Alligator mississippiensis: one gene and its partner. The protein of the gene in region 2 purifies or fractionates together with the protein of the main gene of each other region. This does not show direct contact. Links are inferred from orthologs where the notes say so. Each region holds a gene or a part of one and is shown on either strand. Other genes may lie near its edges.

Region 1 (10,607 bases), on a different chromosome or scaffold from region 2:
TTCATTTCTACCCAGCACCACTCAAGTGTTGTTTCCCCTTAAGCTTTCGTGCCATTTTACATGGAGCAAACCCATGCTCAACCCCTCTCACCAAATACTCAGTTTCAGACCAAAATACACAGACATAATTCACATATCAAGTACATAATTTTTTGCTTTATGTGACACATACCTGGGACAGCGATACAACGCTGTTGTCCTCATTGATGGCTTCATCGACAATTAACCGATTGGGCCTGTTCTTCTGCTTCAGAATTGCAGTTGATAAGTCATCTCCTTTAGAACTGGAAAGGAAAACACAGGACTCTTTAGCTTGGACACGGCTCCTCCTTTTCTAGCCATACTCTACTTTGCTTTCCTTGTTCTATACAAGCTATAAACTCTTCTTGTTACTTTGCCTGTTAGAAGTTACACTGGTTTTTGAAAGGCAAAGAGCAATACCATTTACAGGGTAACCAATGCAAGAGGTATGCCAAGAACATCTTCTATATGAAAATTATTTCAGGGACTATATTAGCCTGGAACTAAAACAGCTACGAAGACAGTTAAGAAAATGGGTACAGCTCAGTAAAATGTTCCTGACTGGAATGTATTTGCCTAAAAACAAAGGTATTGTAGCAAGATTAACATTTGCAATGACATGTAAAGGGAATACCATGGGTGCAGCCAACCGGGTAGAACCCATTTGGTCACAAATCCCAGCTGAAGAGGAGTTACAGGACAATGCTACAGTTCACCAAACTGGATGAGGACTGGAGCTTAGCTTGGGGAAGGCTAGCAAATATAGCAGAAATGTTTATGTATCGCAAGTGTCCACGAAAACAGCAAAAGCTTCCTTGCAGCATTCACTTGCACCTTAGAGAAAGGGAAATGAAACCAACTACTTCATTTGTCCTGTCCAAACTGAGTGAGCTGAAAAGCAGGAGGGCCAAAAAAGGGTGAAACAGTAGATTTATAAAGTGCTTTTGTTTCACGTTATAATGCATCCAGCAAAAGATACTTGACTAAAAGAGAAAGGAATCTGAATCCATGCTCTGGAGAAGGTTGCAGAAGTTTCAGGCAGTTCTGGGACAAGAACAGGGCAGGATTTTAATGCTGTGTTGTTAAATGTGTGGCTGACGCCTCTGGATGGTTCAGAGATACCATAAATGAGTGAGCAATGATATTATGCACAGCCTGGCTTGGTTCCAATAAAAGGCCTCCCCAAAGTAACACACTTTAGCCGAGGGTTGGAGCCCAGGTTTTTACTGGACCAGGAGGATGGCTGCAGACAAGTCCATTAGGGGGAAATGAAAGCTTGGCGAGCCCCAGGCTGGAGGGGAGGAGGCGGAGGGCAGCAGGCAGGTGCGGGGCGGAGGAGTGCTGCCTGGGGAAGACCCGTTGCTTTGGTTTGCAGGCTCAGGGGCTCTTTTGGAGATATTTTACTGCGACAGACAGGTGCGAGGTCTCCGGAGAGTCACACCAATGCGATGATGAAGCAGATAACGAATGAGGTAGTGACCCCCTACCCTGATGCTTCAGAAAGACTCTCACAGGATGAACATGAAGGCAGCTGGCCCATCTAGAAACAGTTTGGGAAGCTGGCCTGAGCAAAGCATTAGGAAGTAAGAGGCAGGACTCAGCAAGGAGAAAGGGGCAGAGCTATTCTAAAAGGAAAAACCCTACTGAACCAGGAAGCAGGAGCCTCTGTGTGGGCAGCTCTGGACAAGTCACTTTTCCCAGAGCGTGTTTCGGCTCCTTCATAACTGGATTGCTCCTCTCAACTCTCCAGGTAAGGGAGGAGTGTCAACGCGCTGCTCTGAACCTGCCACACACGATTCCCAGACAGACGTTCATTAGAAATAGGGAGGCTGCTGGTTGTGACTGTAGATGGGACTGATTGCAGCAGCAGCCCACCCAGGCAGTCCTGACCATCGTAACACAGCGAAACAAGAAACCCAAGATGTGCAAGCTACGGAGCCAGCTAAGCTCATCAGGTGAAGCAACAGGTGAGCTAATGAGATGCAGGCTCTCCATGAGCCACACCTCCTCTGGAGGATGGGAAGTTCAGAGCGGCTAAACTTTAGAGCCACGAACTTGATGGAGCCAAGAGAGATCCTGTAAGTCAGAAACCAAAGAAGCTCGCTGTGGTACTGAGGCGATCGATGGCAAGCCTCAGGCTGGCTAATGGAGAGCGCTGCGAAGTGACATCACCGCAGGGAACAAAGCCAGCACAAGTTCTGCAACAGAAGGGATACAGTCCTCTCCAACCAGGGAGGAGTCCTGAATGCAAGTCATGCCCCCCCTGTACAGAGCACGTACACTCGAGGACCCTCTGATACGACTCGATCTACTGGAGCAACCCAAGGCACCACTGCAAATCACAGCCTGTCTCTTAGGACACAAAGGCTGGCTGCGGGGGTCTGGGGTTGGTACTGTGGGGCCGGCATCGCGTATACGTTACAAAAACAGAAAAGGAAACAGGCAGCGAGTTGAAGCTCAGAGACAAGACAGCGATGAGAAATGAAAAACTTGGGAAGGATTGTGAGAAGGCTCAAGTATCATTCAGCGCACCGGGGGTTGAGCAACACGCTGGCAGGTGACACCTAACTTGAGTCAACATGAGCTAATTCATCAGAGGAAGAGAGTTTTCACACTGAAGGACTTTGAACTTGCACAATCCAGAGAGAAGAGACGCTACCAGCCAGACGAAGCAGGTTACGGGGCGCACGGCAGCTCACACAGCGAGCGAAAGGCTTGGGTGCACTAACAGTTGGAGAGGATGCCAAATGCTGGCACGTGTTCATCCAGACGAACGGGGCCAGCTGCAAGCCACCTCAGCTCAGAAATGCGGTGGAGGATGAATGGGCGCACAGAAAGGAAGTGAGAAGTCAGGCGGGTCGCATCATGGCTTCTTGCGAAAGTGAAAACGTTGCTTCACCCAGAGAGGAGAATCAGAGGGACCGAGAGCTTGACAGCTCCAAAAAGCCCCGTGCCGACGCACGAATCGTCGCTTTCTTTTCTCGTGGAGGCCTGCGACAGGCGTGCCGTTTTGGTTTTAGAGATGCGTAGGTCCGAAGCGTAGCGCGCACGGCACGCGCCCATCCCTCTCCCTAGCGCCGTCCAGGGGTCCGGCCGTAACCCCCCGAGCGGCGCAGTCCAACCAGTGCCCGATCCCAGCTCTGGGCAGAACGGTCCCAGCCCTAAACCCCGCGTTTCCCCATTCAGAGACCCCCGTCCCTTCCTTTACAAGGGAAGCTCTGTCTGCCAAAAAGAGAAGGGGAAAAAAAAAAGACTTAACGATGATGCCGCCGATCATCTGCCCCGTGGTAAAGCTGTTGCTTTACCCCGTAGGTGACGCAACCCAGGCTGCGCTGCGGTACGGTTCGCAGCGCGACCACGTGCGGGGGACACAAGAGACGTTTCCAGCGCCGGTCGGCCGGTCTCCTGACAGCGACGTCGCCCGGCGAACGGAGACGGGACAACGTCGTATCCGAGCCGGCGGAGGCCGGCTTTCCGTAACGAACCTGACACGAGTTTCGACCTCTCCGTGCCGGTAAACCGTTTCGCATCGACCGATTCGACCGCATCGCTCCCGCCGGGCGCCCGTTCGCTGCTCCACGGAGAAGGCTATATTTACACAAACACCGCGCACGCGACGCGGCTTCCCCCCCGAAGCTGGTCTAGGGGCGCCGGCCGGGCGAACCCCTAACATTTATTGAAGTCCGAGGACCAAAGCGGGGCTCGAACGGCAGCCTGCTGGGGGGCTGCAAAGAGCGCGGCGCGGCGCGGGACAGGACAGGGGAGCAATGGGCTTCGGCTGCAGCAAGGAAAGTCGAGGTTAAATGAGGAAGGGGTTTCCCCCGAGGAGGGGTGCAGGCTCCACCCTTGGGGGGGTTGAGGCCCCGGCAGACAAAGGAGGATGAGTTGGAGCAGGGGGGTGGCTTCAGCGTGGGCCAAAACCATCCCTTGCACCCCCCAGGAAGCAGGAGCAGGCTCAGGCCGTGGGACACGCACACCAGGCCAAGGCCTAGGCCGCACGCCCCTCCCCCACCTGGGGGCGGAGCAGCGCCGGGCCCGCCCCCCCTCCCGGGCCTGCATGACACAGCGGGATCGGGCCCAGGCCTCGGCCCTCGCTACGCATGCGCGGGGCCCCTCGGAACGGGGTGCAGGGAGGGGGGAGTGCGCATGCGCGCGGGCCCCCTAGAACGGGGTGCGGGGGAAGTACGCATGCGCGGGGGCCCCTCAGAACGGGGTGCGCGTGGCAGTGCGCATGCGCGGGGGCCCCTCAGAATGGGGCGCGGGGAGAGGCCTAGGGGTGGCCCTGCACTCACTCGGATCCCGAGGCCATGGCGGCGGTGGCGGGCGGCGGCAGGCAGGGATGGGCTCGGGCTCTGGCGGCGGCAGCTGCGGGCGCTCGGCTCTGACTGCGCCTCAGCGCCGACTCATCGGCGGGGGAAGCTCCGCCCGCCGCAGTCTGCCTAGCAACCGGCGGCCGCGCCCAATCGGAAATTCGGGGCCGGGGCGCCTCCGCCAATGGGAAAAAAGAGCCAATCATCCAACGGCTCCCGGTCCCGCGCCGCCAATGGGTGCGCGCGGAGCCAGGTGCGTTGTTCTGCCCGGCAACGCGGCGCGGATCGGCCAATGGGAAAAATGCGCCAATGGGAAAAATCGGCCCGTGGGGGCCGCCCTTTTCGTCATTCTGCCTAGTGAGCCCCGCTCCATTGGCTGCTGCCCAGGGAGTCAGCCAATGAGGGAAGGCGGCGCGATGATTGACAGGCCTGCTGATCCTTCTAGGGAGACACGTGCTGCAGGGGCTCGAGGGCCCAGGGCAGGGGTGCAGCAGGGCCATGCAGGGGCAGGGGCTTGCACAGGCTGAGGGGTGTGCACCCCTTCTTGCACCCAGGGTGCTTATGGCCCTTGCCCCTGGCACTGAACCGGCTGTCCAGGGTGCTCAGACACACGGCAAAGGGGTTGTGCCTTGCGGCCCTGCGCTGGGGAGCAGGGACAGGGCGGTGGCAGCGCCAAGGGATGTCGCTTCTGCACAACACGGTGGAAGAGCAGTTGTGGGCCACGGGCAGGCATCACTCAACGGCGGGGAGCACACGTCACGGCACGTCGGCAAGCGCGGCTACTCCTGCCGCTGTCTGTGGGGACGCGTCGGCTTCGCAAAGAGACTGGCAGCTTCCTGCGTTCGACTCCTGCAAGGCGCAGGGCAGGGCAAGCCGTGCGGGGTGTGAAAAGCCAGCGTGTGCCGAGTCGAGGCAGACGGACACCAGTGCAGCGCCCCGGGGTCGGTCCTGGGCCCGGGTTCCTTCAACATCTTCATCAGTGACCTGGAAGATGGGATGCGGCACACCCTCCGCAAGTTCACAGACGACACCGAGCTGGGGGGAGCAGTAGATACGCTGGAGGGCAATGCTGGGATTCGGAGAGACCTCGACACACTGGAGGATTGGGCCAAGAGGAATCGCATGAGGTTCAACAAGGACAAGTGCAAAGTCCTGCACCCCTGCACCGGTGCAGGCTGGGGTGACGGGCTGGGCAGCAGCTTTTTAGAAAAGGCCCTGGGGGGACAGGGGACAAGAAGCTGGACAGGAGCCAGCAGTGTGCCCTTGGTGCCAAGAAGGCTACCGGCGTCCTGGGCTGCATCGGTAGGAGCGCTGCCAGCAGATGGAGGGCAGTGATTCCTTCCCCTCTATTCAGCACCAGGGAGACCACATCTGGAGTCCTGTGTCCAGCTGTGGCCCTACTACAGAAAGGCTGTGGACACACTGGAGAGAGTCCAGTGGAGGGCAATGGAAATGGTTGGGGGCTGGAGGACAGGACTGGTGAGGAGAGGCCAAGGGACCTGGGCTGATTGAGTCTGCAGAAGAGAAGACCGAGGGAGGATTTGACGGCGGCCTTCACCTCCCTGCAGGGGGGTGCAAAGAGGATGGAGCTGGGCTGTTCTCCATGGGGGCAGACGACAGGACAAGGAGCAATGGGCTCAAGCTGCAGCAAGGGAAGTTGAGGTTGGATATAAAGGAAAACTCTCTCAGAAGGAGGGTGGTGAAGCACTGGACCAGGCTCCCTAGAGAGGTGGAGGAGTCTCCATCCTTGGAGGTGTTGAAGACCCGGGTAGACAAAGCCCTGGCTGGGATGATGTAGCTGGGGCTGGTCCTGCTTGGAGCCGGGGTTGGACTGGATGTGACCTCCTGAGCTCCCTTCCACCCTCCTGCTCTGCGATTCCAAGGCAGCTCACAGTACCTCGATTATAAACCAGTGGACTTAAAAAGTAGCTGGGAAATCATTTTCACCCAGTGGGGAGATGCTAGTCCAGCCCTGTACAGATCAGTCCCCCATTCACCCTATTCCAGAAGAAAATAATAGCTCATTAAACTTAGAGACAAGGTAAATTGATGTTTAAAAATGGTAACTGGGCAGCTGTGCAGCCCAACCCGGATTGCTCGGGGAGCTGAGCTCCTTGTCTGAACATGGACAAACACACGTGCACATCCAGGAGCAAGGGCTGTAGTTCAGCTTCCTCGAGGGCAGCGACTGAAAAGGATTTGGGGACCGTGATTCATAAGCAAGGAGCGCTGGGGCTGCCAGCGCAGCAAGGAACAGATTAAGCCGTTGAGGTGCAAGCAGGGGAAGGGCGCGGATGTGGTATCGGTGAGACCATTACCAGTCAGACCCGGGGCACAGTTCTGGTACCAGCCCCACAGGAGGGATATGGATAAACTGAGCGGGGCTCAGAGAAGAGCTGCAAGAAAGGTGTGGAGTCTGGAAGAGCCCTGGCCACGAGAGACAAAGGAAACTCAACTGACTGAGTTCAGACGTGGGCCTGGTACAGTCTGCAAGACCTTGCGCAGAGACTCCCCCGGGCCGGGGTGCTCAGATGTATCCTGGAGTCATCGTCCTCAGGGCTGGGGACGAGGCAGGTCGGTGCCTCTCTGGAGAGCTGGTTTCGCCACCGTCCTAGTGAGGAAGTTTTTCCTAATATCCAACCTCAACTTCCCTTGCTGCAGCTTGTGCCCATTGCTCCTTGTCCTGTCGTCTCCCGCACTGAGACCAGTCCTGCTTGGTGCCACCCCCAGCCGGGATGCCCTGGCACTAGCCAGCTGGGGAGCAGCAAGCCCCTTACTTCCCCTCTGCCAGGTGCTGTCCCTGGGCCGCGTTCTCGGCGTGACAAGCCATGGGCGCTGCTGTGACACACTGCTGTCTGCCTGGCAGATGGCAGCGCAGACCAGGCGTGTGCGTGCCAGCTCCCCGAGGCTGCCAGGTGCCTGCTGGCTGTTCCCACGAGCCCACGCCACGTCCCAGCCAAGCCGCTCCCACATGGTGCCGTCACCAGCCAGGTGCCACACGGCCTCGCGGACGGGTTCAGGGAGCCTGGGTCCTCTCCACCACCTCGCTCACGCTGGGAGCAGCTCAGCGTAGCACCCCGCCAGCCCTGGGGTTCGGGCAGTGCCCAGCGTGATGGGGGCCTGGCAGTGCCACTGCACCGGGGGGCAATGTGGAGGAGGATGCACTTGCCGACACCTCCTGCCCTGCAGCACAGGCGGCCCAGCCAGCTGTGGGGCAGGGGAGTGTCTTTCACACACACACACCATCAGTGGGACTGACACACACGCACCCCACGGTCCCTGGGAGATGCACACACTAACACCCCCGTGCAGCACTGTCAGTGGGAACATACACAGACACACGCCACTGTCCCTGAGAGCCACAACCACACACACACCCACCCACCCACCATCACTGGGGGTGACACATTCCCCCCACATTATCAGTGGGGGTGACACACACACCCCACTAACAGTAGGAGTGACACCCCCCCACTATCCGTGGGACACACAGACACACACCCGCACGGGATGGAGAGACCCTGCACGCTGCCCTGCAGACTGCCCCCGGATGCCCTCCATCCGGCACCGTGGCACCGTTACGCACACAGAGCCCTGGCACAACAGCCCCGGGGTGTTGGCCGAGTGTTTCACAGCTGACGCCCCCCAGCTCTACGCCTTGCCCCGCAGGGTGCCTGGGCCAGGCCTCTCCTCCCTGCGTGCAGGGGCGAGGAAAGCCGGGCCGGACAAGAGCCCCCACAGGGAAGCATCCTGCCAGGTCCTGGCCTGGAGAGGTGCCCAGCGGGAGAACCAAGACAGCTGGCCCTGCTCCGGGCACCGGCCGGTTTCTCTCCGTGGTGCTGGCACATCTAAGGGCAGGGACAGACACACGCCCTGCTGGAACATGGGCTGGTTTTGCGCCACGGCTTGCCAAGCAGAAGGCAGGGCAGGGTGGCACCTCAGAGACTAATTTGCTCGGAGAGGCAGGGGCTCGCTCATCGCTGTCCTCACCGGGCATTATCGAAGTCTCGGGCTGCGTCACAGCCAGGAGATCCCAACACCAGTCCTCTCTTAAATTACCACGGGCTCGGTTCGGTGGCAAAGGCTCAGCCAGGTTTCTTGTCTCAAGGCACGGCCATAACACACTTGTGATCTGCTGCACAAGGCGTTAACACACGTGTGCCCGTGACAAAGTGCACCATGTAGGCTCCCCTGGGCTAGTACCAGGTCCCCGTCATTTCTAACTCTCCTTCTATACAGGCCTAAAACCAATGTCGTCCTACTTCCCACCTGGATTTTGAATGTCTTAAGCTGTTGTGTACCAGGAGCTTGCTCCACATCCTGATCTGGGGGTTCCCGTCCCAGCCGTATCACCCCGATATCAGACTATCCCACACCTTGCACAGCCATCCCCACCCCTTCCCATCCCCAAACTTGCTAAATTTTCCTTATGGAAGGTGTTTGCTGGTCAGGCTGACTGGGGATGGAGATGGGGATGATGTGCAGCTTGTCTGGGCACGGTTCACACTGACAGCTGCTGCTACTACGCCTTACCATGGGACGGCAGGGGAAGCCAGCAGCCTGTCTGCCTCCCGGGATCACCGGGCTGGAAGGGACCCCAAGGATCGTCTGGTCCAACCCACTGCACCAGTCCTCAATCCTCCCTGCCCAGCGCCTCCTCTTGGAAACCTCCAGAGAAGGGGACTCCACCTTGCCCAATTCTTTTGCCACGGGTCTGGATGTCTCCTGTAAGCAGGTGTGATACTAGTTTCACACCCCATGCCCAGAGACGCCACCTCCATGGGAGCTGAGCTAGGTTTACCAACCTGCGCTGTCTGCAGCCCCTGGGGTACGATGCAAGTAGGGAAGGGCTAGCTTGGCTGAGCACAGGCTGCAAGGCAGGGTAGGAGCGGTAACAGTTAAAGGCCTTCTGTGGAAGGCACTGGGGTTCATCCGAACCTCTGGCATTTATTCAAGGCTGTTCAGACTCAGTACAAACTAGCATAATACGTAAGGACAACAGGCAGGACAGTACAGCCAAACCTGGCACAGGAGATACATGGGGTATGTGGGGACTGAATAAAATCATAGAATCAGAGAGCCGTGGGGCTGGAAAGGACCTGCAGGGGTCACATCTAGTCCAACCCCGGCCTGTCCAAACCAACCCAGAACGACTATATTGAGTGTATGTTAACCTTTTATCACCGTGACCCCCCCGCTTTGCCTGTGGCAGGTTCGAGTGTGATGTCTGGTGTTGTATCAGGGTTGAAGAGTTTAGAGGATGGATGTGTCTGGGATGGTTTGGACAGGCAGAAGTTGGACTAGATGTGACCTCTGCAGGTCCTTTCCAGCCCCACGGCTCTAAGACTCTATAAATCCACCTTCTGATCTGGAGCTGGGCTGGTCTCAGTGGGGGCAGATGGCATGACAAGGAGCAATGGGCTCAAGCTGCAGCAAGGGAAGTTGAGGTTGGATATTAGGAAAAACTTTCTCATGAGGAGGGCAGTGAAGCACTGGACCAGGCTCCCCAGAGAGGCGGTGCAGTCTCCATCCGTGGAGGTGTTGAAGACCCAGGAAGACAAAGCCGTGGCTGGGATGATGTAGTTGAGGCTGGTCCTGCTTGGAGCAGGGGGTTGGACTAGATGTGACCTCCTGAGCTCCCTTCCACCCTCCTTGTCTGCGATTCTCTGAATCTCCCAGTAAAACGACCATCGACCCTGACACAGCACCAGGCATTACACCTGCCCCTGCCCCAAGGAAAGCAGGGGGGCCGCAGCAGCCAACATCCTACTGCAGCAAAGGGGGTTAATATACTCTCGAGAGACCCCAGGCAGAGGCCGTGCCCCCACTGCAGAGGAAGGCAAAACCCCCCAGTCCAGACCAGCCTGACCAGGGGGAAATCCCCTCCTGCCCCCAGTACAGCATTGCTCCGAGTCTGAGTGGAGGGGCGAGACCCTCTAGCCAGGACCCTCTGGGTTTGGTCCTAACAGAAGCATTGACACAGCCCACCAGCCTGGGCTGAAGCCAGCACCCAATGCTTCTGTGGAAGGCTTTAAAAAGGCTTTAAAAAAAACCCCCAAAAAACCCTGACACGGAACCACCAAATGTGACTGATGGTGCGTGGGCAGTGATGGGGCTTGATGTCAGCACTTCTAACAGAACAGAAATGCACTTTGGGCGTGTTTAACCCTGCACTATCCCTTGCTGTCGGCCGGTCTGATTGCCCAGCTGACAGTATGAATAAAGGCTATGCCAAGTTTATACTCACTAGCTGCTGCAGGCTTATCCAGACCACGC
Region 2 (10,279 bases):
AGTGGCTACCTAAAGGCATTTCCACAGTTGATATCTGGATTGTCTGAACCCTCCTTCTGAGGCACATAAATTCCATTTACTACACAGGAAATGTAGATTCCTAGCCCTGTTCTTTACATCAGCATCCTGGGGTCAAAGGCCTATTTTTTAGTTATGTTGGACCTGAAGATGGATGTGCCTAAGGGCATTAAGAACCTTATTTTGAGCCTGTACCTAATCCAGACTTTGGATCTGTCATTACAGCACTTGCTGGGTAGATTCATGCTTCTCTAAAGTTGGTGGGACAGTTTAGAACACAATGAAGAGGCTAGAAGGGTGAAATTGGTTCCCAAATAAGAGTTCTAATCTGCCTGCTTCTGAAGCTTTTCTTTCCCTAAAACTCTTACTTACCATAAAGCTGAACTTAGAAAGCAGATGTGCATATAATAAGTTCCCTATTGCATATCTGTCAGTTTAATTGTTATAGTAGGTTGAGTGGCTCCAAACCCATCATTATACACTAGAGTATGCAACCTAAATGAAAGACAATATACATGCTTCCAAAAGAAATGGCTGATGTTACTGCAGATTTCCCTGTGAGATACCAGTGCTTCCGTTGTTAGTTAATGAGTCATCACCTTTTGACTACTATGTAGCATTCATGGAAGGCTTTGAAAAGGTTTCCTGAAAATAACCCAATATATATGTCATAATTTACTGTTCTCCTTCCTATTAAACTAAAAGTTTTCCAATTAAATAATAGATTCCTGGAATCAAAAATACCTTCCTAATATTTTTATTTTAACACAATAAAATTGTTTTCATAGCTATGTATCAACAATACAGATTTATATTTATGTTTATTCAGATTTAGGTAAAACATTTAAGGCCTTTCTAGGTTCCTTTGCCATACATTAAAAATATCAGCAATATAACAAGCAAGATTAATTGAGCAATTTATAAATTCTGGAAAACAAATAAATAGGGGGAAAAAATCCACCCTGCTCTTGTTTGAGGGGGGGGAACTGGCATTGCAGCAGGTTGTAAAATTTGGCAAATATGGGTTATTTTAGATGAAGGGAGAGGATGTTCCAAAATTCTGGGCTCTGTAAGGAGAACAGGCTGCAACTTCCTCTTATAAACCTGAGACTCCAGCTTCAGGATTTCCAGTCCCTACATATATGAGGTCATTTCCTGGAGTGAGGCGCAGCTTGTTTGAATAAGCAAGTTTCAAATGAGTTAAATGTACAGTCAAATCTTCTTAAACTCCATTGAAAAAATATGAAACAGATAGTGCAGATCCTAGAGCATAACTGACTTTGTGCTCTTGATGAGAAACTCTACTAATCAAAGCTGCACTGGTTTCAGTTTCTGAGTTGACTTTAAGGTGTAGCCCTGTGCACAGTACTTTACTGTAATCTAATCTAAGGTGAAAAAGGCACGGATCATATTTGTAACGTTTACTTCTGAAAGAAAGAGTCGCATCTACTTAGCCTGACAGAGATAAAAGAAACTCATCCTGGTCACTGGTGCCATCTGATAGTGTAACAGCAGCTGAGAATCTAACAGAACCCCCGTTCCTCAGACTGGAATAACAAATGATGAATACATGTCCTTAGCAAAAGGAGATAAAATCCTCCTCATATCTTTTGGCTGCATTTTCATTATCAACATAACTTCCTATTTACCTGGACCCTGACTCACTAATTAGTCCTCTTCTATAGATCAGTCTCTACAAAACACTAACTAGTTTAGATGATAAAAAAAGAGCTGGAGCTTTGTCTTAGTAACATGCCGAGCAATCTCATACCTATCTGTTCCATATGCTTGTTGGATTTATAAGCATTATCTTGACAACATGTTGATGTGAAAGTTGGTGATTAAAACACATAATTTTAGAAAGTGCTGCTATAAGTTAGTACTACATCTGCTTTAAAACTGCTTTTTAAATGTAATAATCTGATCTTGAACAAAATATTCAAAACAAGTGGTTTTCAACCTATGGCCCATGGACCCCTGGGGGTCTGCAGACTATGTCTAAGGGGTCCATGAAAGATGATTATGTTCAATCAAAAGTATGTGAATACCCACATTTACAGTTCAAAGGGGTCCGCACCTCCATTCATAATATGTTAGGGGTCCACAAATGAAAAAAGGTTGAAAACCAGTGATCTACATATATATGTATACAGCTTCATAGTACAGAGAGCACAGAGGAAAAAAAGGGGAAAAGGAAGTATTTGAAATCTTATGACAGTGTATATTTCTGAACTCTGAATGGTTTAAAATGTTCAGTGTTTGTGTATAAGTAAACTTCACCATGAAGAAATCTGAAACAATTGTGATACTAAATAATAACAAAAGAGTTTCTTAAATGCCAAATCAGCCCATCAGTGCTGTTGGCATCACTGTAATAAAACACATATTCCCTAGTTCTTTTAGAAGACTATTGATAAAGTGTTACATGTTTTCTTGAAGAGATCTTCAACAGTATAATTGTTTCCACAGTATTTCTCTCATATGCTGTCTGAAATCATCAGCAGATTATCTGTGTTTCTCTAAAGCCAGCAGCTTTGGATCTAGTTCTGGCATCACTACATCAAGTGCATGTTGCAGACACACCACCTGTTTGAACTTAAAACTGCAGATTCTTAATTTATGTATAAGACACCCTAATACTAGAGTGATGAGGCACTGATATATGTAGATAAAACTGGTCTTAAACTAGTTTAATTAAAAAGAAAGAAATTTGGTCTAGCTAAAATGAACTGAAAAGCTCCCAGGAGCAGATCCAAAGGGGCCCAGTTGCACTTCGTTTTCCAACCACACAGTGGGAGCAGCAGCCAGGGATTCTTTTTTAAAATCCTCAAATTGGGTAATAATTGCTCTCCTGCCCTCCACTTCATGTTCAGTGGGATGTCACCTCCTCCCCCACACCCCTGGCTGCTTACCACTAGTGCTATCCCCAGGTGCCCCAGGAGCAGGGGGAAATTCCAGAGCCTTTGCTGTCCCACTTTAGCCAGGCTGCCCAGGGAATTGGGCTCAGTTCAGGACAGTGGCAGTGGTGGTACCAGATGAGTACCTCTTCTCTGCCTAGGACTCCCACGTGTACTCTGCCAGCTTGGGAGCAGGCTTATGGAGGCAGACCCTACCTGCCATCACTGCTGCTGCTATCCCTGGCTAAGCCCAACTCCCTGCAGAGCCCAGCTGCAGCAGGGCAGGAGAGGCTCTGGAGCTCCTTCCTTCCCTGGGACAGCTGGATAGTGGGGACAGTGGCAGCAGGGGGCAGGGGAGAGGAAATGCCACTGAGCATGGAGGGAAGATTCTTACCTGATTTCAACACTTAAAAATGTGTTCCTATGGCATGGACTACCTGTCCTGCTGGAGTAGGGGAGAATTTGAGAGCTGGGGTACAGCTAGTAGTTGCTGCTCCTGTACCCTCCCCCCACTTTACAAAATTCAGGATCTGCCCCATGGAAGCTCCTCACATCATATGCAAGGGCACCAGTGGACTGGACAAAATGGAGATGGAACTATAATCCAAGTTCCTCTTCCCAGGTGAGTGCCTTAACCATCTGGGTAGAGCCATGCTCTCTCTTTGGCCCAATGCATGTTGAATTATTTTATTTAAAGTACAATAGTTGCAAGAGGATAAATGGAGGTTTCAGTCCCCCTAGGTTCATCTAAATTTCCCACTTTTTGCATGAGCCTGAATTGTGCACGAGGGGAGCAGCAGCATTCATCCCCCATTCCCCACACGTGCATTAAAAAAAAAAGTACCTGCCCCTTCACTTGTAAAGCCTCTTAGGAACGCTTTGAAAACATCTACTAAGAGATAGGCAGAAATCCAAGGCTATCTGGATGTAGTATACCAGTAACTCTGCTCATGCAGTGCCTGGAATAATTAACAGAGGTCTAAAAACAAAGCTAGTTACCTCAGGTGCAATGCTGCATGGACATGGCTATATTGCTTCTAGTCTGGGAGCTAGCATGCAAAAGCCGCTGTTATCCCTACATAATGGTTGGACCCATGTAGCTGTACTCTTGGGCTGCTTGCAGATGTTTTAAAAAAAACCCCAAAACTGCTTCCCCAGAAGCAGCAGCATGTTACTTCCACCCAGCTCTGCAGCATCTGTATAGATTAGGCACTTCAGCGGGGCTTTTTCGTGCTTTCATCTAAAGCTAAGTCAATCAGGTAGTAGATGAAAGTGCCCCAAAAGCCCCACTAAAGCACCTGATCTATACAGATGTTGGGTGAGCCAGGTCCAACTAATGTGCTGCCTCTTTTGGACATGTGCTGGGCTTTGTGCAGGAGCCCATCGGGTTTAAAGCAAGGTGCAAGTGGCCCTGGTTTCTAGATCTCCCATATGCTCAGGTGAGGCAGGTGCTAAGTTACTCAGCCCTGTTAAGATAGAAGCACTTTGGGGTATGGTCAGTAACAGAACTTGAGAAGTGAAGGACTTCAATGTACAACTTACAGGACAGGTGCTTGTAGGACTAGGCAGCAGCTGAGTGTGATTTATAGAACTGCACTTTTGGTGGAAATCACATTATTTACTCAAATCCAAAACCGTGAATTGAAGATGACCCCCACAATAATTAGAGTCTATACATGGCAGAGCAGGGAGTAAGGAATCAGGCAGTAGAGAAAGCAGGTGTTGTGGGGGTGGTGGAAGGGAGCAAGCAGCTTGTCCCCCACCACCTGTCCTCCCCCTATTTCAACCCCTGTGCTTGGCCCTTACTCCCTCTTACCTCCCCAGCCCCTTCCCCTCCTACTTACCTTTGCTCCAGCCCTGGCAGGCTCTGTCCATGCTGCAGCCTGGGGCCTGGAGCATGGGGTGCAGGTGGGGTACTGGTGCCACAGGGCTGGGTCGGAGCCATGCTCCAAGCCACAGCAGGAGATGGTGGCAGGGGTGCAGAAGAGCAGAGAGTGCAGAGGGGCAGCACCGGTCAGAGCCAGACACCCAGCCCTCTCCTGCCCTGCTCGGTTCCAAGACGAGGGGCTCCCCCATGCAAGGGGAGGACATCTCGTCTTGGGCCCGAGGCAGTGGGGTCGGTGCCCGAGGGCTGTCCTGGCTTTCAGCCGCCTGGCAGCTCAGCACAGCACTACCCTTATCGGTCCAGAAAGGCTGGAGAGGAACAGCTGGCGGGAGCGATCGGCAGGGAGGAGCTGCAGGGCAGCAGGTCAAGCGCTCCGGCCGGGCGGGGCGGGGCAGGGCCGGGCCGGGCCGGGCCCAGCGCCTCACGCCGCCTCCTCCTCTCGTCCCCGCAGGGCGCGGACGGCAGCTGCTTCCCGGGCCACGACCGGCTGAGCTTCGCCTACATCAGTGTGGACCCGCGGCGGCGACACGTGCACGTGCTGTCCCACTGCGCCGGGGCCGCCTCGCCCGCCCGCTGACTCCGCGCGGGCCCGGCCACAATAAACCTCCTCTCTTCGCCTCGCCTCCGTCTCCGTCTGTCCCCGCGGCCGGCCGCTCCCGCACCACCCGGGAGCCCCAGCCCGAGCCGGTCCCTGTGCAGGCCCCCCACCCCCGGCGCGTCACGCGGGTCCCGCCGGGCACCGCCCCCCGCTCCCGCCCCGCCCCCGAGGCCGAAAGTTTGCTGCAAAGTTTTCTCGCTCGTTTAATTTTGCGTTGCACGGACGTCCCGGCAGCGCCGGCCCGCGTGGGCGGGCGGGCGGGCAGGCGGGCTGGGTGGGTGAGTGAGTGAGAGGGGCGGGCCGAAGTCCGGGGACGCGGGCGGGCCGGGTGTGCGGGACAGCGAGCGGGCGCGCCGTGTCGAGCGGGGCAAGACGGAGGGGCAGCGCCTGGCGGGGCTGGGCCGGGCTGGGCGGGGCGGGACCCGGCGCGGGCGGGCGCGGACAGGGGAGGGGGCGGGGCGGGTGCGTCTCAGAACTTTTGTTTGGCCTCTTGCGCGACTTAGTTTCCGCCGCCGCCGGGACGGAGGCGCCGGCCGGGCTGGGCTGGGCCGGGCCGGGCTCGCGGGGCGGCCAGAAGCGGGAGCCCCGGCGGGCGCGGGCTCGGAGCCGCTGCAGCAGCAGCAGCCATGGATCCGGGACAGGCGCCCTCACAGCAGCAGCAGCCGCCCTCGCAGGCGCAGCCCCCGGCGCAGCCGCCGCCGCAGCCCGCCGGGGCTGGGGCCGGGGCCGGGACGGGCGCGGCGCAGCCCCCGGGCGCGGGGCCGCCGCCGGCCGGACACCAGATCGTGCACGTGCGGGGCGACTCGGAGACCGACCTGGAGGCGCTGTTCAACGCCGTCATGAACCCCAAGGGTGCCAACGTGCCGCACACGCTGCCCATGCGGCTCCGCAAGCTGCCCGACTCCTTCTTCAAGCCGCCCGAGCCCAAGGCCCACTCCCGCCAGGTGAGGCTCCCGCCCAGCCCCTCCGCGGCGCCCCCGGGGAGCCCGGCTTTGGGCCCGGGTCGAAGCAGCCCGGGGGCTGCCCCCGCTGCGGGGAGGAGGCGCGCTGCCAGGCTGGGACGTGGCCCGGTGCCATGTCCCAGCCCCGCTGTCGCAGCTGTGCCAGTGGAAGAGGGCTCCCCGCCTGCGGCGCAGTAGCTAGGGTCTTCCTGCTCGCTCGCGCACACAGCAGAAGTTTTGGAGGGCTTGACTCTCCTGCCCACGCTGGCAGTAATAGCCTTCCTGGTCCCTTTGTGGCAAGGTGGGGACTAGATTTCAAGTGGACGGGGATTTCGGCCCCTGATGCCTATAAGGAACCAGGGGTGCAGCTCACTTTTTTTTTTTGGATTTGCTCCTTGCAAGATGCGTGTCAAATGCTACCGAATCAAAATGGTCGTTTATGCTCTGTTGGGAACCATGATGCAACGCTCAGGGCAGTGGTGCATCAGGCATGACAGCGGGGGAGATGGGATCCTGCTCAGAAAACTGTAAGGCTTTTTGTTTGTGCGTTCAAAGTTTACAACAACAAAAGGTAGACGAGAAAGGTTGATAATTTATATTCCCCATGTCCTGGCAACAGCTTAAAGCTTGCTTTGACTTTGTTTAACTTGCTTTGAGCGACGAGCTAACAGCATTGAAACAAGTCAGAAGTTTGAAAACAACTTCTTATACCCGAGTCTCTCGCAGACAATTCAGTAAGGTCAAAGTAGGTGTGTTTCTGCTGAAGTATCTTAATGGGAACTGTTTACTCCCAACAGGCCAGCACTGATGCAGGTTCAGCCGGAGCCTTGACTCCTCAGCATGTCCGAGCTCATTCATCTCCAGCTTCGCTGCAGCTGGGAGCTGTCTCTCCGGGGACCCTTACCCCCTCTGGAGTAGTGACTGGTCCTGGACCTGCCTCATCTTCTCAACATCTCCGTCAGTCCTCATTTGAGATCCCCGATGATGTTCCTCTGCCACCAGGTTGGGAAATGGCTAAGACACCATCTGGCCAGAGATACTTTCTTAAGTAAGTAAAATAGAGTTATAAAAAACAAGGTTACATTTTTTAACGAAGCTCACTGTCCATGTTTAAGAACCTTTGTGTATATAAGAATATGTGCCCCTTTAATATATCAAATACATTTAAAAACTATGGGTCATGATTTTCAGTAGTATAGCTCTTTATCTGATTTGAACTGGGGGTGTAGATGTTGAACCCTGAAAGTTATGCCTAGGTGTGAGAAACATGCCTCATTCTTGGCATGTCTCATCTTGGATTAGTTATTTTTGGGCGTGTTTTTAAGTCTGTTGTAACATATAGTAACTTTAATACTTGGAGTACAATAAAGCAAGGTCATTTAAAGGTATACTTTGGGTCAGTATTTGGAAAATTGCTGAAAATGGATATCAAAGATTAAGAAACTTTCAGCAGTATTGCAGTGAGAATACTGGATGACTGCTGATTACTTTTTTTTTTCTTTGGAAGTACAGTGTCAGGTTCCTATGAAGTCTTATTGGTACATGAACCTGATGGGGCCTGTAGTTCTTAAAACTAACTTTGGAATGAAAGGTGAATGTTGGAATTCTTAAATGTTTTTTGTTTTCACTACTTTGGCTTTTTAAAGTAGTGAAATTAATATAACTTTTTCTCTTGCTGAAGAGGTTACACATGCCAGCACTCTGACATGTCATCCATCAGGAGATGCTCTGTAGAGTTTTCTAAAACAGCAGAAGCCTGTCCTCCTTTTTGCAAGTGTGTGCACAACTCTCGTTCAATCACTAGGTTTCAAGTAACATATTATTTGTCACTTCAGATTTGAAGGGACGGAACCACTAGCATTAAAAAAAAATTATATTCTTACTACCTTGCTAGTCTAAAAAGTGTTCTAAACTTTTTTGTGGTTCCATTTGCTGAAATAAAATATCCAAGCCTGAAATTATATTCGCAGAAGACCTTAATATCTGTGGCTGGGACATGCTTTCCATGTAACTGCACTATGGCTCAGAATGAAATAGGGACCTAATTCAATGCCCATAGAAGAAGCCCCCTTGAAGATTTACCATTGTTTCCTATGAAGCACAAAGTTTGTTCTTATGAAATATTTTGCCTAATTTCACTGTTAGAATTAGGCAGTTTTATGCCAGTTGAGAATGTGACCCACTGGACCTTGAAGAGCAAAACATAGTTTTCATATAATTCCAAAACTTGTATATTATGCTCGTTATACTCTTAACTAGCTTAAATAGAACACGACAAAGATGGTATTTAAAAAAAAAAAATGCTCTATCTGTAGTGCTAATTATTATTTGCATTTAGATCGATGCTTTAAATTTTATAGAGGGAGCATTACAGTTGTTGTGGTAGACGAAAAGAAATCCTTGCACTCCTATAATTGATTCTTTAATTATGCTCATTTAGGTGAAAGCAGAGGGAAGGATTTGATCTTGGAAAGCTTTTCTACAGTTTCGCTATTATTACAGAAAATCTTCCTTTTTTCCTGCAAGTTTTCTTTTTTGTCTGTCTTGGTGTCTTGGTATCCATTTCAAAGAGTCAGGTTTCAGCAAGAACAATAAAGAGCCTGAGACTGGAAAGTACACACAAGTCTGGCAAACTCATCTGCATGAGCAAGATCGTTTGTTCTCAAGCAGACATCCAAAGTAAATGATTGAAAGAGCTGCTAGCTGTGAAGGATGCGTCTTGAAGGGGAAAAGAGTGGAAACAAACCAGGTTGTTAGGAAGAAAAATAAAGGCTGTACTTTTTGAACCTCTCCCTGCTGGGTCACATGCTGACCTTGGGAGATCTTAAACCGCTTAATAGGCTGTTTTCTTTTTGCTTTCCTTGGGTGATGCTGTGGTTTGGGAGAGTCTGAGGACAGTTTTAAAGGCTCTGTTCACGCTTAGAAGAACTATTTCCCTCCCCTCCCCCTAATACAGCCTAAAATACCATCTACAAGTGGAATCTGCTAGCCTTGTTGCAGTTCAGAAGTATTTCTACTAACTTTATAACTTTGCTTCCTAAATTTGGAAAGCGCCAAGAGCTTGTAAAGAATTTCTTTTAACAAAGCAGTTCTGTATTTCAGAAATTGCTTAAAACTGTTGCTTCCTATGATTAAAAATAAAATGTGTGTTTAGCACATATATGCTTTTTTTTGTTTTGAGAGAGCTTAATTTTAATGAAGTAAATATTTAGATTTCTGCTGCTGAGCACATTTTGCTTCTAAAAAACTGGTTCCCTCTGCATGGTGTTTGCTCCACATCCAGGTATTTAGCTTCTTCATTGGATTGGCAGTGGTGCTTTTTGTTTCCATTTCCTCATTCATTAGAAACTCCTAGAGACCAGACAAGACCAGGCTTTTCAAGAAATACCTTTCTAAAGAATAGGTGAAAATATTAGGTGTGTGTTTTCCAGTTGTGAAGATCTTTCCAATTATCACTTTTCCCTATGATGCCTGGCTATCACAGTACTCTGCACTATAGCCAGTTAAATCCAGTACGGAAATTTCCACAGGGGAATCAAGAACTACAAATACAGCAGCTATCACTGGAGAGGCAGGTGAGAAGAAGTTTGAAGCAGCCAAATGTCTTGTTTGACCACACATTAATATAATACCACTAAATAGCATTCTGGGTGAACCAGTTTTTGAAATCCCAGCATCTATCTAGTCAGACTTGTAATAGTCTGTTTTAGCATGATAAATCTATATATGAACAAATTTAAATTTCTGACCAATACTTGATTTGCCAGTGTTTCATCACTATTAATGAGTTAATATTCATAGTACTTTCAAAACTAGGAGTTTTTATGAATGTGTCTTTTCTTCAGTGTAATATATTCCTGTTACAGTTAGTAGAATTCCCTACTTTGTTAAAAGTTGCTAACTTCAGTGAAATTGTGACCGGAACTCAGCAGTTATAATA

The links. Proteins that work in one complex are often made in the same cells at the same time.
Region 1: the proteins of YAP1 (region 2) and VCP purify together in Homo sapiens (affinity purification with mass spectrometry, with the first as the bait; 3 studies listed by BioGRID). This does not show direct contact. The link is inferred for Alligator mississippiensis from reciprocal best matches to the Homo sapiens genes YAP1 and VCP.

What each region holds. Positions count from the first base shown.
Region 1 is NC_081826.1:300,917,238-300,927,844, forward strand, and holds the start of VCP (transitional endoplasmic reticulum ATPase), read right to left. Parts: upstream 4,426-10,607; 5' UTR 4,331-4,425; coding exon 4,314-4,330; intron 285-4,313; coding exon 173-284; intron 1-172. UniProt on the Homo sapiens protein: Necessary for the fragmentation of Golgi stacks during mitosis and for their reassembly after mitosis. Involved in the formation of the transitional endoplasmic reticulum (tER).
Region 2 is NC_081824.1:441,909,891-441,920,169, reverse strand, and holds the start of YAP1 (transcriptional coactivator YAP1), read left to right. Parts: upstream 1-5,893; 5' UTR 5,894-6,024; coding exon 6,025-6,342; intron 6,343-7,136; coding exon 7,137-7,387; intron 7,388-10,279. Other genes in the region: CFAP300 (cilia- and flagella-associated protein 300), read left to right, coding at 5,252-5,377. UniProt on the Homo sapiens protein: Transcriptional regulator with dual roles as a coactivator and corepressor. Critical downstream regulatory target in the Hippo signaling pathway, crucial for organ size control and tumor suppression by restricting proliferation and promoting apoptosis.